4 linked regions of the Arabidopsis thaliana genome follow. The protein of the gene in region 1 purifies or fractionates together with the protein of each later gene. This does not show direct contact. Each region holds a gene or a part of one and is shown on either strand. Other genes may lie near its edges. The genes, in order: AT2G37990, AT1G80750, AT2G42650 and AT3G58660.

The links.
Region 2: the proteins of AT2G37990 (region 1) and AT1G80750 fractionate together in Arabidopsis thaliana (co-fractionation; one large-scale study listed by BioGRID). This does not show direct contact.
Region 3: the proteins of AT2G37990 (region 1) and AT2G42650 fractionate together in Arabidopsis thaliana (co-fractionation; one large-scale study listed by BioGRID). This does not show direct contact.
Region 4: the proteins of AT2G37990 (region 1) and AT3G58660 fractionate together in Arabidopsis thaliana (co-fractionation; one large-scale study listed by BioGRID). This does not show direct contact.

The regions. Positions count from the first base shown.
Region 1 is NC_003071.7:15,898,398-15,903,925, reverse strand, and holds AT2G37990 (ribosome biogenesis regulatory protein (RRS1) family protein), read right to left. Parts: upstream 3,292-5,528; 5' UTR 3,214-3,291; coding exon 3,113-3,213; intron 2,622-3,112; coding exon 2,471-2,621; intron 2,285-2,470; coding exon 2,233-2,284; intron 2,091-2,232; coding exon 1,962-2,090; intron 1,818-1,961; coding exon 1,700-1,817; intron 1,493-1,699; coding exon 1,309-1,492; intron 1,225-1,308; coding exon 1,111-1,224; intron 1,006-1,110; coding exon 898-1,005; 3' UTR 708-897; downstream 1-707. Other genes in the region: AT2G38000 (chaperone protein dnaJ-like protein), read left to right, coding at 22-147, 227-611.
Region 2 is NC_003070.9:30,346,520-30,351,260, reverse strand, and holds AT1G80750 (Ribosomal protein L30/L7 family protein), read right to left. Parts: upstream 2,592-4,741; 5' UTR 2,380-2,591; intron 2,230-2,379; 5' UTR 2,210-2,229; coding exon 2,024-2,209; intron 1,673-2,023; coding exon 1,575-1,672; intron 1,478-1,574; coding exon 1,340-1,477; intron 1,236-1,339; coding exon 1,133-1,235; intron 1,046-1,132; coding exon 827-1,045; 3' UTR 697-826; downstream 1-696. Other genes in the region: NIP6;1 (NOD26-like intrinsic protein 6;1), read left to right, coding at 16-210, 288-349, 429-621; AT1G80745 (Transcription factor TFIIIC, tau55-related protein), read right to left, coding at 2,940-3,061, 3,187-3,238, 3,335-3,385, 3,464-3,547; CMT1 (chromomethylase 1), read right to left, coding at 4,430-4,583, 4,687-4,741.
Region 3 is NC_003071.7:17,763,368-17,767,557, forward strand, and holds AT2G42650 (Ribosomal protein L1p/L10e family), read left to right. Parts: upstream 1-1,810; 5' UTR 1,811-2,162; coding exon 2,163-3,281; 3' UTR 3,282-3,521; downstream 3,522-4,190. Other genes in the region: AT2G42640 (Mitogen activated protein kinase kinase kinase-like protein), read right to left, coding at 22-50, 274-341; AT2G42660 (Homeodomain-like superfamily protein), read right to left, coding at 3,698-3,880, 3,972-4,101.
Region 4 is NC_003074.8:21,699,413-21,703,860, reverse strand, and holds AT3G58660 (Ribosomal protein L1p/L10e family), read right to left. Parts: upstream 2,328-4,448; 5' UTR 2,288-2,327; coding exon 947-2,287; 3' UTR 747-946; downstream 1-746. Other genes in the region: AT3G58670 (2-aminoethanethiol dioxygenase, putative (DUF1637)), read left to right, coding at 47-168.

The sequences.
Region 1 (5,528 bases):
AAAACTCTCTTTTCTCCGCAGATGCACCAACTGTAACGGTAAGGGAAAGCTTCCTTGCCCAACTTGCCAATCTCGCGGGTTAATCAAATGTCAGACTTGTGACAGTACTGGTTCTCTTCTGACAAGTAGTATCGCAGTTGTAAAATGGTAGGTTTTAGAAATTCTTAAGAACATGTGGCTTGAAGTGGCAATTGAAATATTTGATTGTTGTTTTCGGTTTTGACAGGAAGACTCTGTCGAAGCGAAAGGTGAGTGCAACAAGAGGAGCTGGGTCAGTACCAGAAGAAGTATTTGACAGAGCAGAAGGAGTTCAGCTTTGCAACACACAAGCTTACCAGTGCACGCCAGCTTACTTTGCAGACTCATATTTCCTCAACAGATTCTCCTCAGAAGTTATCTCGTTAAGAGCTGAAGTTCCACCGACAGCGAATGTAGTATGTGAGAGACACACCATATCTGTTGTGCCTGTGACTCGTGTCACCATGGAAGATCGTGGGAAAGCGTTCAGCTTTTACATAATCGGTTTTGGTAAGGAGATATACTTGAAAGATTATTACCCAGCAAGATTCTGTTGGGGTTTGTGTCCCTGTCTTGAGTGGTTAAAGGTTTGAAAAACCAGAGTTGATCTTTGTTCTTCTCTACTTGAATGTAAAGAGACAAGATAGAGTGTAGTCAATGTGTTTGAATATTAGTGTGGATTGAGAGCTTTAGAGAGAAAATCAAACTGGATTTCTAGACCTTGCGAGCTTTAAATTGTTTTATGGTGCAAAATATGAAGTCAATAAGATTAAAATAAACGTACTCATAAAGTATTACTTTAACAGAGCAACCCAAAATTTGTTTTGTGATAGAAGATGGAGACAGATAGAAGAGTAAATTAGACATGGGAGAGTCTCTTCACTTGGCTTTGTTGGCAGGCTTCTTGGTGATGTCCTTCTTAGGTTTCAACTTGTCTGACCTTCCTGACTTCTTCTTCTCCTTCTTGACGTTGTACATGTTTATCGCCTAAATCATATTATACGCAACAGTTTAACACAATCTTTTCACATACAAACATCAGAGGTAATAGACCAAACCAGAGAGGAGAGCTGAGAAGTGAATTGGTTTTACCTTGCCAACATTGAGGATCTCATGCGAATGCTTTGAGAATATCTTGCTGAGTACATTATTTGTCTGTTCTTTTTCTGCGTTAACATCCCCACGCCCTGATACAACCGGTAAATACTGCAAATATTCCACAAATATCATCAACAGATATGGTCATTTAGTAATCAAATTATCAAAGGAGGGACAAGATTACTAAATTACCTTGTGATGTTTGCCCTGCTTCTTTGGAGGTTTTTCTCCAGGCAACTTTTTATCGAATTTTCCACCACTAGCGGTTGAAGTAGCGGCTAAACCTGCTACATCTCCAAGTTCATCCTTTCCAATTTTCTTTGGTTGAGCTTTCGTTCCTGATATGGGCAATGATGTTGCAGCAAGTTGGACATGGCTGCAAATAATGTTGACCCAGTTAGACCTTCAGTTTTCAAAAACCATGAAAAAGGTGGTATGATAATTCCAAAAAGAAATCCTATATCGAGCTAGGATTGACTTCAATTTCTTTCCGTCAGATAACACTTAGATTTTAGCAACTACATTAGTATGTTATCTCACGCAAGGATAACAAATGCAATACCGATCAAAGAAGCTGTTTTACCTTGGTAAAGCACCAGCTTTTTCAGCAGCCTTCAGATTCTGAAGTCTATTCTTTTCTTGCTTTCCAACTCTCTTCTTCTTATCATCTAGTCTCTTGGCAAAAGGATCTACTCCTGGTTCTGCAATTAACCAAAAGCTTTCATAAATAGTAGAAAAAATAATGTAATGCAACTCCATATCCTTGTCTTCAAACTCAAAGAGATTAGATTTCAACATTGTCTCTAACAACATAATCTAAGATAGTTGTTTTCCATAAGACTTACCATCTGATTCTTTCGCCTCAATGATGGGAACATCATTATCATCGTTAACACGGTCATAACCATGGCGACGCTTAAACTGATTAGTTTGTTCATCCCATACAACTTTTTCCTTCTTGCGCTTCTGTATACCTAAGAAACAGAACCAAGAACAATTCCAAACGAAATAAACATTAGTACCTTCAAACTATAGAACACAGAGGTCGTCGACCCATCAAAATCTGAACAAAATAAAGCTTCCAATCCTTAAAACAATTTCTTAAACAGCTTTTACCTTTCTTAAGCGCAAACTCTTCCCACTTCGTAGGAGGCTTAGGCCTTGGAATCTGGGAAAAGAGGAGAAGGTTACAAGCTTTAGTACAATACAAAGATAAGTGATGAGCAAAAATATGAACTTGTTCTAGTCTTTTGGATAAGCTCATACAAGAAATCACTCGTTTGCATTTGAAACTGGTTAAATCCATGTGTTGCATGAGAATGGAGATAGTGGAAAATAAAAAGGAAGATCTTACATGTTTCTCTCTAGGAAGTTTGGTTGTAGGCGGAGGCAATTGGACAATAGGACCATCATTTGTTTCAGTAGAAGGAAAGTTGAAAAGTTTATTGGCTATTTCCTGAACAAGTTTTGTTCCCTCCGTTAGGATCTCCTTCACAAGCTCCCCCCTAAAATAATTCGAACAAATCATCATCAAGGACAGAAATAAAACAAGCTCTCAACAGAAACAAGTAACTCAAGTAAGACGATATTGTATTGATAGCGACACAGCATTGTTCCCTAATTACAAAAGAATGCAACTGAGGAAGAGGTTCAACTCCCAAAACTCTTAAAACAGCACTCAGAGAAGTTGCTTAAAGACGCAACCTTTTCGATTGGGTCATCGTCTTAAGATATTTAACTCTTGTACTTCCGAGATTGATGCTTAGAGAAACTAATTGAAGAAACTCTTGTACTTAAACAGAGCTTTTGTTAATAAATCACTCTTACGAAAAAATTCATACTTTACTTAACATTATTCAGCAATTGAAAAGTTTACAACAAGTATGAAGATAAACCCATTCCAAATCAACTAAATCAGGATTAAACAAATATATAATCAAGCCGCCGCCATCGAAGAACTCAACACAAGCTTAAGATAAGACGGGAAAGGACGAACCTTGAAGAAGGAGCAGATGGGAAGCGGTGATTGGGATTGAAAGCCAAGAGATTTCCGACATCGACCTGGTATATTTGTTCTGTCTCCATCTCGGTGTCCATGTCTTCCCGGCGCAGTGTTTTGGAATTGAGAGAGTGGAGGAAGAATGAAAATTTTTTGTTAGGGTTTTGCGATATTTTGAGTTAAACCTTTTCTCTCCAACTTAAATAACGGAAATTTGCTAAGAAATCCTTTCTTCCTTTATAACTTTCAAAAATATATTTAACTTTCGAAATCGAACAATTTAGTACTAAACTTTTTTTTTAAAAACAAATAAGTACCACATAAAATTGCAACGAACACCGTTATTCGTATTTATTAACTGTCATAAATCTCTAAATTTCATAGTTTTTAGCCTTAAATTAAGAAAATCCCAAATTTCACTAATCCAAATAACCCTACCCGAGATTTGCATATTTTATTTCTCAAGACCATAACGTTGTTAAGAATACATTAATACCCTATCGTATTAAAAAAACTCACGACAATTTCGGTTCTTTTTGTATGTTTTAGCTTCTTAGCATAATGTGAATCAAGATAAGTTTGGTAGCCATGGAATGTATGGATTGTCACTACAGTTGGAATCCAAAAAATAACCTGACTTAAAGAATGTAAAGAAGTTCGAACATGGAAGTGGGAGTCTGGCACCAACAGTTTGAGGTCAGAAACAAGACTTAGGTCTATTGAATATAAAGGTACGTGTGTTAACTTGAGATTAATGACTAATCTATTGGTGAATATGTGTGTGAGGAATATAAAACACTTAAAAATTAGTGTTTATCAAAAGAGCTAAAACAGAAAATCGAGTAGATAATTTCTTGATCATGAATATCTTGATCATGAGTTATCTAACAGGGGATTTATTTGATAGGTGGCTCCATTTGAATTTTCTAGTAAGTATACTTGTTTCCATCTAGATAATGTGAAGATGTGTGTGACTCATGAAATTCATTCTCATGGTTGTTCAATTTGTTCTCTAATACAAGATCAACAATTTTGTGAAAAGTTTTATCATGATCTCATTCTGATATTAATTAAAAATTTAAGCTGCTAAGAAAACCAGATTCAGTATAGAAATTTTTAAAAAGATAAAACATAAAACCAAGACACAAATACACGATCTAGTGAGTTTCGGTTGATTCTTTCAAATCGTCCATTAATCCCCAACTACAATAATAGATGGTTCAACTTCATAATTAGAAGAACAAAAACATGTGAATATATTAGCTTCTATACGAATCTTGATTATACAAGAACATGATCGAAGGTACAAAGAAGCAAAGCAGTGATCTTATCTAATTACACCGAGTTGCACTTGTGTATGTCTTTGTTATTCTACTCCTACTACAATTATCATTTTCGATATAAATAATTTCAATGCAGCATGAATACACATCTGAATTTTATGTTTTTAATTAACGCCTGATTTCAACATAATTCTTCTTGTATTTGTTGCCCTTCACTCTTTTTTGGAAGAAGAATATATTTATATCGTTATACCCTCCCTTTCTTAAAAAAAAAGGACCATATCTATCACCAAACCTCTATTCAAAAAAACTTCTTAAAAAAAAAAGACACATACATGTTCCATAAACAAGAGATTTGATATGAAACCGAATCTTATTGTAATTGCAATTTTGCCTTAAACATACAATGCTAGTGTTTAATTCTATATATGACTGGATTACTCACAAACAAAATCTAATTATATTATGATTAAGATCTTTGCGAAGATCATCAAGTTCTAAACGAGGAAAAATAAATCATCAACTTTGAGTATTTCAATGAACCACTTATCAGAAAATTGAAGTTTAAAACCGATTGTCATTTCTAATTTATTACATCCAAAAATCTGTTTTTACATTGAAACATAGACAACGATCAACTTATAAACACATACTACGACAATATCCATGACGTTCAAAACATCACTAACCAGCTAAATCTATTTGCAATACTCTTCACATTTGTATACCTTTATTTTATATGAGTTTTAAATATTTTGTTGTATAACAACACATTTTTGTACCTCGTCCGACATATTTACAAATGATTTGGTACTTGACTTAACGCAAATGACAAGTTCACATGTAAGATCAAGGGAGATCGTGTATCGGCCGTCTGATTCGGATCCAACGGCCATCAAGGCACGAAGAAGGTGCAGAAGACGAATTTCACGCTGGTGCTCTTTGCCGACCGGCTTGAGATCCGGAAAGTGTTTGGAATGAATCCACGTGGTAGCAGGTGATAGGAGGTATGTGGTTAGGGGTTACGTGTCCAATATATTTGACGGCAAATCTAAGGTTTGGCCCACATGTTACATCTTGATCAAGTGTTAATTTGTACGTTTTTCAGTTTCTAGTGTAAGAAATTAGCT
Region 2 (4,741 bases), on another chromosome or scaffold:
CTAAATTTATGTTAGGTGCCGGTGTATATCGGAGCTCAGGTGATGGCCTCCGTGAGTGCGGCGTTTGCACTGAAAGCAGTGTTTGAACCAACGATGAGCGGTGGCGTGACGGTGCCGACGGTGGGTCTCAGCCAAGCTTTCGCCTTGGAATTCATTATCAGCTTCAACCTCATGTTCGTTGTCACAGCCGTAGCCACCGACACGAGAGCTGTAAATTACTTATAAAAAACGTTTTTGAAGAGTCTTGAAATTTTGGACGTCAATGAAAACTAATCACAAGATTACAGGTGGGAGAGTTGGCGGGAATTGCCGTAGGAGCAACGGTCATGCTTAACATACTTATAGCTGGGTAAATAAACCATCATTTCTTGAATTCAGTTCTTGTACATAATAATACATGTTACTGATCATGATGTTGTGTCCAACAGACCTGCAACTTCTGCTTCGATGAACCCTGTAAGAACACTGGGTCCAGCCATTGCAGCAAACAATTACAGAGCTATTTGGGTTTACCTCACTGCCCCCATTCTTGGAGCGTTAATCGGAGCAGGTACATACACAATTGTCAAGTTGCCAGAGGAAGATGAAGCACCCAAAGAGAGGAGGAGCTTCAGAAGATGAAAAACACTCGCTTCTATATTACTCTGTTTACATCACATAAATATATGTGTATAATATAATATCTGAAGTCGACGATGCTTATAAAATTTGGAATGCCCTTTAACCAAAATTGCAAGTGTTTCATCAAAATGGTTGGTTTTTAGCCTCGTACAGATCTTTTAAGGAAAATATAGTAAGTAGCTAGCGATTACAACGATTGCTGCTTCTAATTCATTTTGCTGATGAGATCATTGATCTTATCTTCGCGGTTTCCGGTATCTCCTCCTTCGCTGAAAACTTGTTTCTTCCGGTGCAAAACATCAGCCACAGGCTTGTTGAGTTTCAAGGGTCCCAAGAATCTCATAACTTCTCTGAAATGATCTCCGACTCTTGCTATCTCATTCACAAGGTCTTCTATGCCCAAGATTTTGTGTTCTCCTAGAGCCTAAGGTAACAAAAGTGGAAACGATTAAGAACAGCATGGTTATTATCTGGAATAAGCTCCTATACTTTTAAGAGTAGGAAATTTTACCTGTTCGATTATATTGTTGTCGGTAAGAGGAACAGGATTTCCCTCAATGATTGTGCATCCCTTTTTGTATATAAGGTCCTTAACACTCTTATCATTCGGGTATCTTCAAGAATCGTAAACATCGGTTAGCTCATACGAGAATAGAGAAACAGCATGGAAATCGAGTAACAAGGAAATATTGAAAGAGGATTGATTGTCTCTACGTACCCATAAGTGACATAAGGCTGCACTTTGAGAAGCTTTTGGAACAAACTGTCAGTTGCTTTAGCAAATACACCAGTAAAGACGCTCTTTAGTTGCAAATTGTTAAGAATCCTCTTGGTCTTTGGGTGCATATCATTCTTGCTGGTCACCAGAAAGAAAAGGCAAGGATAAGAAACAGGCAGAGATAAAGATTAAAACTCCAGGGGGAAAACAAAGCTAATTGGAGAATATCAAATACCCTTGAATGCGTATGATGAAAACCAGGTCAGATTTAACTGGTGGAGGAGATGACTTTGGCCTCTTTACTCTTTGCTTCATCCGGATCATATCTACTTCCTTAAGTAGGGATAAAATTAGCAAAAAGGGAACAGTTAAATTACAGAGAACAATGCAGGATTGACAGAAGAAACAACAAGTCCTAAGCACAACCTTGCAAAACTAGGGAGAAATCTCAAAGGAGAAACACAAAATTATCTGTAGAAAAGTTACAGTCTAAGAGATAAGTGACAAAACCTAATCATAAAGGTTGATGTATAGCTTTAATTTAACTCAAAGAATAAGCAAAAACAAGTTCTTCTAAGGTGTAGACAAAAGTCAAGAAGCAAAAATCAGAACTTGAGGCAGTAAAACGAATGGAAAAAGACAAAGCAAAAGTTTTTCAGAGAATCTGGAAAAAAAGAAGTGTACCTTAGCCCTGAACTCATGAACAAAATCTTCAGGACGTTTGATATCAGAGACTTTCTTCTTCTTCTTGCCGGAATTACCCAACTCAAGTTGCTTCTTCCTGATAAAGGCAAGCTCATCTCTGTTCTTCCTCTTCTTCAGTACTATCTCCGGTATGTAATCCAAACCCTTAGCTTCTTCCTCAGCCATTATCTCTCTACTCTTTGCTTCTACAACACAAAACAGATTGTCAGATTGAATTTTTTTGCGAAAAAAGTTTATAAACAGAGACTGAACTCAACCCTATAAGAAAGTGAGGCTATAGGGACACCAACAGAATGAACAAGATAAGAAGAACGGAAAAGGGGGAACAAATTTACCGGTGGCGGCAAAGCAATTGGGACGGCGGCTGAAAGAATTCCAAGTCGAAGTTGGTAGCAATGGCCGATTTGAGAAGCCTAGGGTTTATTAACTAAAATCTCTTTTGTGTTATTAACAACTTTGCCACCAGACCTAATTACGCTCCGGGCCAGACTCATAATACTATTGGGCTAAAAAAGCCCAATATTTATGGGCTTATGTAAGGCCTTACTGCCTTTGAATATACCTAGTTTTATTTTATAATATCTTGTGTGATTTTGTTTCTTTTAATTACATGGGATGCATAATTTCTCCATCACTGGTTGATTCAATTCAGTTTTTATTTTATTGACATCATCAGAAGGACAAATCATGAAAACGTACGTTGAAGTTGTGAATCGTTTAGTTACCTTTTGGTTTGGTCTTAGTTTGATTGCTACTTTCAAGAGGCCAACAAAGGAAGATGCTGCATGTGCCTTAGCTACATATATAATCTGTCGGTTATTGTTATAGTTCTTTTTTTTAATATGATCTTTGAAGAAAAGTCAGGTTTCCAATGACTTGAACAAGAGAAAAACTTTTACAAATTGGTTGTTTTTGTTACTCCATCTTCGTTGTCTAATGGTGCTAACCTAAACTTGAGAATCTTGTGGAGTTTGGCAACAGGTTCAACTGTCTTCTTCTGTGGCGTCTGGTTATCACCTTGTGCAAACAGACAAATGAAGAAACCGCAACCCCAAATCAGCATCTTGAAGGGACAGAATAATTACTTGAAACAATAACATGTGTTTCCATGTTTGATAATAAAGAGGAAAAGTGAAACTAACCTTTGTCAGAGAAAGCAAGGCATGTACCAATCGTTGCTATATATTCTCCTACCTGAGAGATCATCAAATCTAACACGATTAAGAATGGTTTAAGCAAAAAGAGTAACTGAACTTGGAAAATTGTACTAGTTGCAAGTAAGAGAATTACCAGCTTCATTTTGCCATCTATGGTCAACACCGGATTCAAAGTATCCAAACCCTATGAGAACCAAACAAAACCAAACTTATAAAACAAGAGAATGCAAAAAGTGAAATGAAAGAATTGGATTGAACTAACTGATAAAGTATAAGGAGCATCTGCTGGAATGTCAATGTGCCTTGAAACGTCATCAAGATCAATCATAACATGTTCATCCTCCATCTCTGTATCAATGTGTTTATTAGGGTGGAGAAGAACACAAAGATATTTATGAATCCTAAAACTTTCTCACTTTCTGAACGCGATTAGATCCAAGAAATTATCATTCTTACATCTCCTAAACAACAAATTTATGTTGAGAATGGTTCACCTCTTTCTTTTTTTCCTTTCAATCTTTCGAGCAAATTCGAAACCCTTCTTTAAGTGAGGGAATCGAAGAACAAGCCTGATGAAGAGGAAGAAACAAAAAAAAAAAAAAAGTAGATCAATTGGTTTCTCTGCTTCTTCTATGTGAAAAATTTGCTCTGTTATGAGATATCAAATTTGGGCCGAATATTATAACGTAAAAGCCCAACCGAAGGAGTGGGGACATTATTTGGGTGAACCAAATCTTTCACCATTATATGGGCTTGTGGGCCTAACTGCCTTCGAATTTACTTAGCTTTTGCGAATGAATGAATAACACTAATAAAAGCTGGTAAGTGGTGATCATTGACCAGAGTTTCGGTCGGTCGGTGGCAACTGAATTACGCAAAATCGAACCAATGTTCGTCGAGAGATCACGGACGTACCTAGCACCTCGGATGCTCAATAACAGGTTTTGTCTGTCTTTTGCTTGGTCTTAATTCTTGTTGGATGGCATCACGTAGGATTGAAGTCTACGCAATAGAATTTGAAATCTTGAGATTAAAAATCATAAGAAATAAAATGGTTCCAAATGATTATAAAGTCAAAGATAAACCAACAAGAAAGAGCTAGACAGTTTAAGCCGCCATTGTTTGAGCATATAGCTCTTGCTAACCCAAAAAATTAAAAGAAAGTCTAGAAAATGAAGTATGATTCCTAAAGATAGTTTCATCATGACGACTTGATGGAGACTGTCAATCAGATTTGATCCTTTGCCTGCATGCATTCGGGATACTTGAATGGCAGCTTGATTACTGGTTCATCATCCGTCAGTCCTTGACTCGCCATACCAAAGGCATATCCTAATGCAACCCCTACAGGAACTGCCACAGCATTCCCAACCTGGATGTACCTACAAAATTTAGATTCAAACCCAGTTTTTACATACATTAGGATCTCCAGTTTAAAAACAATCATATACATAGATAGAAAAGCAGCAAGAACCAAGGACTTACTTTTCCTTAATTGTTCCACAGAGCTTGTAACAATCAGGGAACCCCTGTAATCTCG
Region 3 (4,190 bases), 1.9 Mb from region 1:
TAAGAATCAAACTTCGCTTACCAGTAGCTTGGACCTCTAGGTCAGCTAACCTACATAGGCAAAAGCAGAATGGTTAAGTAAATATAGACTCGGATATACTGTTGCAGAAATAAATGTTTCAGTGACATACTAAGTTGCATTCCATATATTCCTTATCAAAGCATTTAACTAGTAGACAATTCTCAAAGACTGGCTACAAAACTTATTCAAAGTGTTGGACTTTTCGATACTTATAGAAGAGATTCACTTCAATAATTCAGCCTCAGAACTTACGACAAGATCACGGAACCATTTGATTCCACCACTGATCCTCGGTGACCTCTGCAACACTTAGCTCCCATTTTCAAGTCCTCGGTTGCAAAATTTCAAATTCCTGCATAGATTTCAAAACCCATTTCAAAATAAAATCCCACCAACTTCGATGGATTCAAACACACAAGAACCCATAAACCAAACGGTCTAAAATCATATAAGAAAAGGCTAAAGAGCAAAAGAAGAATAAGGGTTTATGAAAAAACTCACAGAAAGCAGATAAACGTCCTTCCAATTCCAAAATCCAGCAATCAATCTGCTTAAATCGCACTGCGAAACAAGAGAAAGACAGAAGAGAGATCTGAAGATTGCCATGATCAAGCAACAAAGAGCTAAACGTACACACATATAGAGTATGTGTACGTATATGCATAGAGATTTGCAACAGAGATTCATGAGATAAAAATTGGATTTTGGAGGTTTTGAAAGTTTTGATTTTGATGGCGGAAGAAGCAAAAACACAGTCAAGGGGTTTTACGAAAGTGACGAAGCAAGTCACGTGCGAGGGATTATGAGTCACGTGCCGAGAAGCACTTATTCACAGGATATATTTCATAAGTACAATTTTGTCCTCTACCTACATGGATTGTTTTTGTCATCCATTTCTATCTCAAAGATCTTCGAAACAAGATACATATTTGATAGTCATTACACTATGAATGACAATATATTATCAGATTGTTCATGCATATGAGATAGATTTCTTAAAAGAGGATGATGTAAATGAACAAGAATCTAACAAGAGTTTGATGAAAAATGAGGATGAACTTTTTTTGAAAAGAGTATAATAGAAAATCAACGAATGTATTCAATCTTCGAAAAAGATTGCAATAAGAATGACTCAAGAGAATTCATCCTACTTCAATATTGATGTTGATTATGATACTTACACGTCAACAACAACAGATCATCAAAGTGTTTGGCAGTGCGGCTATTTCTTTGTTTGTCAAAAACCTGACATTTCTATCATTTCATGTATTCTCTCAATGAACTCAATAAGATATCACACATTTTGGTTTATAAAGAAATCCCTCCATTTATATAGTACTTACATAAAGAAAAGTGTTTGAGAATTTTGTTTTGGTTATCTAAATATTGACATTTTCAATTAATGTGATTCTCACTTTTTTCTTAAAGAAATATTTATTTTTAAAGTTTGAAGAGCTATAAGAGGAATTAGACATTTTGCGAAGGGAATAAAAACTTGAAAATAAAGAAAACAATTTTATTAATAATTATATTGTCCAGGTGTATATACTTTATTTCTTTGTATATAAAAATTAGCATCAAATATATTTGGTAAGTACGTTTTAGACAAGTATGGTAAATGACAGCCAAGTACTACATGACTCATATTTTATATAATTAATTTCATATTTTAAATTTATATCTATATCTACATTAACATGAAATAAAAAAGATTTCATGTATTGATAAAATAAGCTAGTTTGTCATAATTTCCTATATCTTAAATCTTACCAATTACCATCTTCTAAAAGTTTCTCTTACCACACAAAAAAAAAATCTTCAAAACATTTCTCCTATGCAAAACTTGAGGACAATTTATAAAACAACATAGTTAAGCCCATTAACTAATATTATGGGCCTTAAGAAACGCAAAACAAACTCGTTTAATAGAAAAGATTTCTCCGATGCAAAAACTTGAGGACAATTTATGAAAACAATATAATTAAGCCCATTAACCAATATTATGGGCCTTAAGAAACCCAAAACAAACTCGTTTAAAAGTCATCGTCCTCCGTAAACCCTGAATCTTCCTTCACAGAACCCTAAATAACTTTTCTTTTCCTCCGACCACCGCAGCTCAGCCGCAACCGCCGCCACCACTTATGTCAAGAGTAAGTCCCAAGACTGTGGACGATGCAGTTAAGGCTCTGGTCAAAGAGGGAAACGAAAAATCAAGGACGGAGAAGCCACAGCTTCTAGAAGAAGACGGATTCTTTTACCTAGTCGTAGCCCTAAAGAAGATTCCACAGAGGAATTTTACGAACGCTTATCGTATTCCTCTCCCGCATCCGCTAATTAACACTACCGAAGACTCACCGGAGCTCTGTCTCATCATCGACGACAGACCTGAAAGTGGTCTCACCGAGGAAGATGCGAAGAAGAATATCAAATCAGAGAACATACCAATCACGAAAGTTGTTAAGCTTTCGAAGCTGAAATCGGATTATGGATCATTCGAATCGAAACGGAAGCTTTGTGATTCATACGATATGTTTTTCTCAGATCGGAGAGTGATTCCTATGTTGCCAAAATTGATTGGGAAGAAGTTCTTTCAGAGCAAGAAGACTCCTGTGGCTATTGATTTGAAGCATATGAATTGGAAAGAGCAGATTGAGAAAGCTTGTGGTGCTGCTATGTTCTTCATGAGGACTGGGTCTTGTAGTGCGATCAAAGTTGCGAAATTGTCCATGGAAAGCGATGATATCGTTGAGAATGTGACGGCGACTTTGAATGGTGTTGTTGATGTTTTGCCTAGTAGGTGGAAATACATAAGATCTTTGCATTTGAAGTTATCTGAGAGTTTATCTTTGCCATTATATCAGACAGTGCCTTATTTGCAGCTCAAGATTGATCCTTTAGGTGTTGAAGAAGTTAAGAATGGTGAAGGATTAGCTAAAAGTGATGTTGATGATAGTAGTAGTAAGAGTGTGAAGACAAAGAAGAAGAATGGAAAGATTCATGAGGTTAGATATATGGATAGTAATGTATCTGAGACTCTTGGTGATGATGAATTCGATAGGAGTGTTGGAGAAGATGAGGTTGCTGATGATCTCAATGCTTCTGGAGATAAGAAGAAGAGGAAGAAGATGAGTAGTAGTAAGTCTGCAGTGAGTGGGAAACCAGACATTGTGAAGAGTAAGAATGGGCAAAAGTCGAAAAAGCTAAAGAAGGACATTGATGAGTCTGGTGGTGGATTCAAAGCTAAGACTAAGAGGAGGTGAACCAAGAAAAGAAGATTTTATATTAATGTCGTTATAACTAAGTATTCTATTCTTTCTGCTTGAGTGATTTTTTTGGATACTGATTATGACTTTGTCTTATTATGGTATCATCATCATGATTCTTATATATTTAGGACTTTTATTATCGTTTACTATTTCATCAAACTAGTGACTTGCCATGTAGTTGATTTGGTGGTTTTGACGAGGAAACATATTATTACATGTGTTTTGTTGCATTCCAGAATTGGTGTTGTATTGAATGCAGAGAAACCGCTAAGGATAAGTACTTGCAGGATCTGACTCAAGCCTGATCCAGATCCTGGCTAAGTACTCATCCCATGAAACGGCTAAGGAAAACAAAAGTCTCTACTCTTGAATCTCTTTTAAAGTTAAACTTCATCTCTCTAGTATGTTGGTTACGGTTCTGATGATGTCGACAACAGAGAGAGCGAGAGCATTGTGTTGATATCATCTGTTGGTTTTTGCCTGCAATTTCCAAACTCAGGCAACTGTATCCCACCTCCGGACATTGATTTCAATCGTTTGACTGATGATACTTCTTCATCTCGGACTCTTTTCTCATTGTTCTTCTTCCTAATCTGCATAAGATTTCACCAAGATTACAGTACCTTCCTCGGTTTTTAACAAAACTGTTCCTCTATAACTCTTAAAACGAAAGTAGGTAGTTACCTCGAGTAGAGGCAGAGTCTTGTTCTCTGTGCTGTCTCGGTCATTTCTGCATAACCCGCTAAACCAGCTCGAAGGTCGCATAAGAAAGTTACCTCCAAGATTTGTAACGACCGCGTCTTGATTGAGTACCCTACAGAAAAGAATGCAATTTTAACTTCCTTGGTCGGATCGGATATACAAATGTGAAACATTTTAGTAACTGGAACTTGTTTCTTTGTA
Region 4 (4,448 bases), on another chromosome or scaffold:
TTTGTTACTATGGCAATGTTGTTGATGACATCATATGTGAAACCAGGTGAGATTGAAGTGATGAATGGAGAAGTGATCTCAAATGTGACATGGCTTGAAGAGTATCAACCTCCAGATAACTTTGTGATATGGAGAGTTCCGTACAGAGGTCCAGTGATTAGAAAATGAGAAATACAAAAAGGATTAAACATATTAAAAAAGAGCAGAAAGAGAAAGGTGCTTATGATCAGGAGAATAATTGGTAAACCATTCAGAGGCTGGCTGCATAATGGTCGAGGTTCTTACATAATTGTGACCACATTAAGTTCCAGCCTATGTCGTTGTATGATAATGTTTACTACATACAACTTTATGATTACTTCACTAGTTTAATATTATAATTTTTTCCCCCTATTTTTATATGCAGCTACACAAAAAATTGCTCATAAACAGTGTTCTATTTAGTTATCATAAATTTTGTTTCCATTGATCTTTTGCATTTCCTTATTTCATGTCTTCTCTAGATCATATCAACTTTTAATTCTTCTTATGACTGAAAGACGAAGCCTGAAGTGCTGTGCTGGCTTGCGAGTAATAAAAAAACTCATGCAGATTTTGGGTATAACTGTTCTAAGAGACCTCTATATGATTTAAATGGTTAAAGCTTTGGTGAGCCATTTACTAAGAGATGGGGATCAAGATCATGCAAGTACCATCATAACCTGATCAATGCTTATTGCAATAAATTCAGATAAATAGTCTTTGTTTAGAAAGAAAAACCTTTAAAAAGTTAAAAGGTGAACAGTAGTATGTTTCCTCCACAAAACCATCAAACCCACATTCACCAGTTCAATGTTTCATAGAAGTAGTACAAGATATGAAATGGCTCAAAAATGTAATAAGAACTACGATAGAAAATAAAACATAAATCATACTCAAAAGCAAACACTCAAGACCTTCCTCTGCCTCATTTCCTAAGCACACTCTTTCTCTTCGGCTTCAATCCACCACCAGATTCGTCTTTCGCAACCATTGTTGTCTTTTTCGCCTTTAAGCCGTCCTTGCTCTTCTCCAGCTTCACAACATCTGGTTTAACTTTCCCCTTGACCGCAGCTTTCTGCATAGGTTTCTCAACATCGGGTTTCGACTTCCCTTTGGCAGCTTTCTTCATCGGTTTCTCAACATCAGGTTTCAACTTCCCTTTGGCAGCTTTCTTCATCGGCTTCTCACTCTCTGCAACTTCACTTACCTCCTTCTTCCTCTTCTTCATCTTCTTCTCCTCAGACTCAACAATCTCATTATTATCCTCGTCACCACCAATCTCATCCTCATCAAGCACCTCAGCTACATTACTATCCATATACCTAACCTCGTGAATCCTACCTTTCTTCTTCTTTCCCTTCCCTGTAACACTCTTCTCTCCACCATCAACAGCAACAACTTCTTCAACTTCACCTTCCTTCTCCTCCTGAACAACACTCTTTCCAGACCCAAAAGCATCGATTTTAAGCTTCAAATCAGGAACAGACTGATATATAGGCAAAGCTAAACTCTCAGACAACTTCAAATGCAAAGACCTAACGTACGTCCACTTATTAGGCAAGAACTCAACTAGTCCATTCAATGTCGCCATCACATTCTCAGTAATTTCACAAATATCCATAGACAATTTCCCAACCTTAATGACACTACACGTCCCAGTCCTTATGAAGAACATAGCAGATCCACAAGCTTTCTCTATCTGATGTTTCCAGTTCCTGTGCTTCAAATCAAGCGCCACCGGAATCTTCTTGCTCGTAAAGAACTTCTTCCCAATCACCCTCGGCAGCAGAGGAATGATCCTCCGATCAGTGAAAAACATGTCGTAAGAGTCGCAGAGTTTCCTCTTCGCTTCGAACGCCTTGTAATCACTCTTCAGTTTCGAAAGCTTAATAACCTTGGTGATTGGAATATTCTCAGATTTGATCTTCTTCATCGCATCATCTTTGGTGAGACCACTTTTAGGTCTGTCGTCGATGATGAGACAAATCTCCGGCGAATCGACCGTCGGGTTGATAAGAGGATGAGGTAAAGGGATACGGTAAGCATTCGTACGGGTCTTCTGTGGAATCTTCTTCAAAGTAACGAAAAGGTAGACGAGCTCGTCTTCTTCGAGAAGTTGAGGCTTCTCTGTCTTTGATTTGTCGCTTCTCCAATTGATAAGACCATTGAGGGCGCTCTCCACTGTCTTGGGACTCACTCTTGAAGTCTGCGAAGCGTGAACAAGTTGCTGCTCCTGCGGCGGCGGCGGCGAAACTGCGGTGGTCATGGGAGGGATTGAGGAAGAGAGAGTACAGAGATTAGGGTTTAAGGAGGAAGGGGACAGAAGAAGGATTTATCACTGATATATTATTTCCCTGGGTTAATGGGCCTACCTTTATTTTGGCCCATAATAGTTTTCTTATAAAGATGGGCCGGACTTTCTTCTAGTGTAACTTTTCTAAAGGTTATTTTCTTATAAAGATTGGCCCATATACGAATTTCGACTATCTCTTCCGGAAAACAGTCTATTTCCTCGACACATCATACTAGATAGAATCTGATTTGTGAGCACGATCTATATGTCCTCGAAGAAATAATTTTATATCTATTTCTTTCCGAAACAAAAGTTCAATATCTAAATCTTCTTGAATTAATAGTTATAGATCTAGAAATCCACGAGATTTGGTTTCAACGATTTTTAAAATAGAAACTGTTTGATTAAAACTATTGAATATCAATCTTTTAAAGTCGATTTTGGAGATAAAAAGAATCAACAGAGAAATAAGTATGTTGGAATTAGGGATCTAGGAAAATTTAAAATTCTCTATTATTCAATAGTTTACAAAAAAATCAATAAAAACTATTGATCTAAAATAATGATTTTTGGAATTAAAAATAAGAAATTAAATACTCAATATATATATATATATATATATATATATATATATATATATGAGTCAACCTTTCAACCATGTTGGTTTGTGTTTTGTCATTGTCTCTTTAACTTTCTCTCTCTGTTTATTAAAATATTTCGGTTTGTAACAGCTAGTAAACTACTGATTAAAAGTTTTGAAATGTTATTAATTTGATTTTATTTTCGGAAGTTTAACTTTGAAAAGTATGAATTCACTATCGGCTCTGCATTGTGAGATTCAAGTCTTCATGCGTGTAAAGCTTCCTAGGGATTTTATCGAATTGTTCAGACATCGTTCTCATATACTCTACTCTCTTTGGTTTCGCTACTTCGAAGCAACTCAAACCACAACAACTTCCTCTACTCATTTATTCTGTTTTTAAAAAAAAAAACTGATTGTGAAATATCAAGAGTCCAAAAAAAATTTGAACTTTTAAGTAATTCGAATCATAGAATGCAGCATATTACAAATATTCAAAACTATACGAAAGTGGAGCCCTTGTGAGACGGACACAAATATGAATTGTGGTAATGCCCAACGAAATAATTTTATAATAATCAAAATGGAATATTAATATATACAGTGATTGCACTGTTTACAATAAAGTCTTTGCCTTTATTTTTCTACACCTGAAAATTGAATCGTTATGACCTCTTTTAAATTATGTGTTTTTTTTGTCCCCTAACCAATTCAAATTCTCTTATGTTTGAAACTGCAAACTGAACTGAAACATGTATAAACATCATCAAGCTATATATTTCCATCTGCATTGGATACCAAATATAAACATCATCAAGCTTGTGACAAAAAAAAAAAAAAAACATCATCAAGCTATATATATTTGTAGATGAGATCATGCTATATGTATAAAAGCCAAAATAGTTGTTGAAACAAAAGATTTTCCTTTTATGTATAGAAAAAAGAAACACTTTTAATAGCTCAAAGGAGGGAGCTTTCAGTTTCCTAAATTCAAAACTCTCTTTGTCTCTGTCTGTCTTTCTCTCTCTCTCTCTCTTTGCAACGGCTCTCTCTGTCGTCATTTCAATTCAAACTCAGCTTCTCTCATTTTTTTAAAAACGTCTCTTGCTGCTTCTTCACTTCTCTTAGCTCACTACCCAAATCCCTAATCTCAAATCTGCTTTGAGCCTTCCTGATCTTACGCATTCCTCCAAAACCCCCCAAATATTTTCTTTGTTTTGTTTGTCTGATTTGATAAATCTCATTTTGTGTTTTTATCTTCTTCCATGGTCGTTGTTCTTGTTCTACAGTGCGATTCGTGAGCTGAGAGAGATAAAAGTGGAGAGCTTTGGTCGATCTTTAGGGCTAGATCTCCCAAAGCCACCATTGTTTCGATTTGGGTCAATCCAATTTGCAAAACATCTCTCAGCTGTGTCTGTCTGGGTTCTCATTTTGCTGAATTCGGTATAGGGTTTCTGCAAATTACACTTAATGGATGGATCCATAAGTAAAAAATGAGATCTTTGGCAGCCTGAGAAACTGAGAGGTAATCAAATTTCATTCCTGATCTAATTT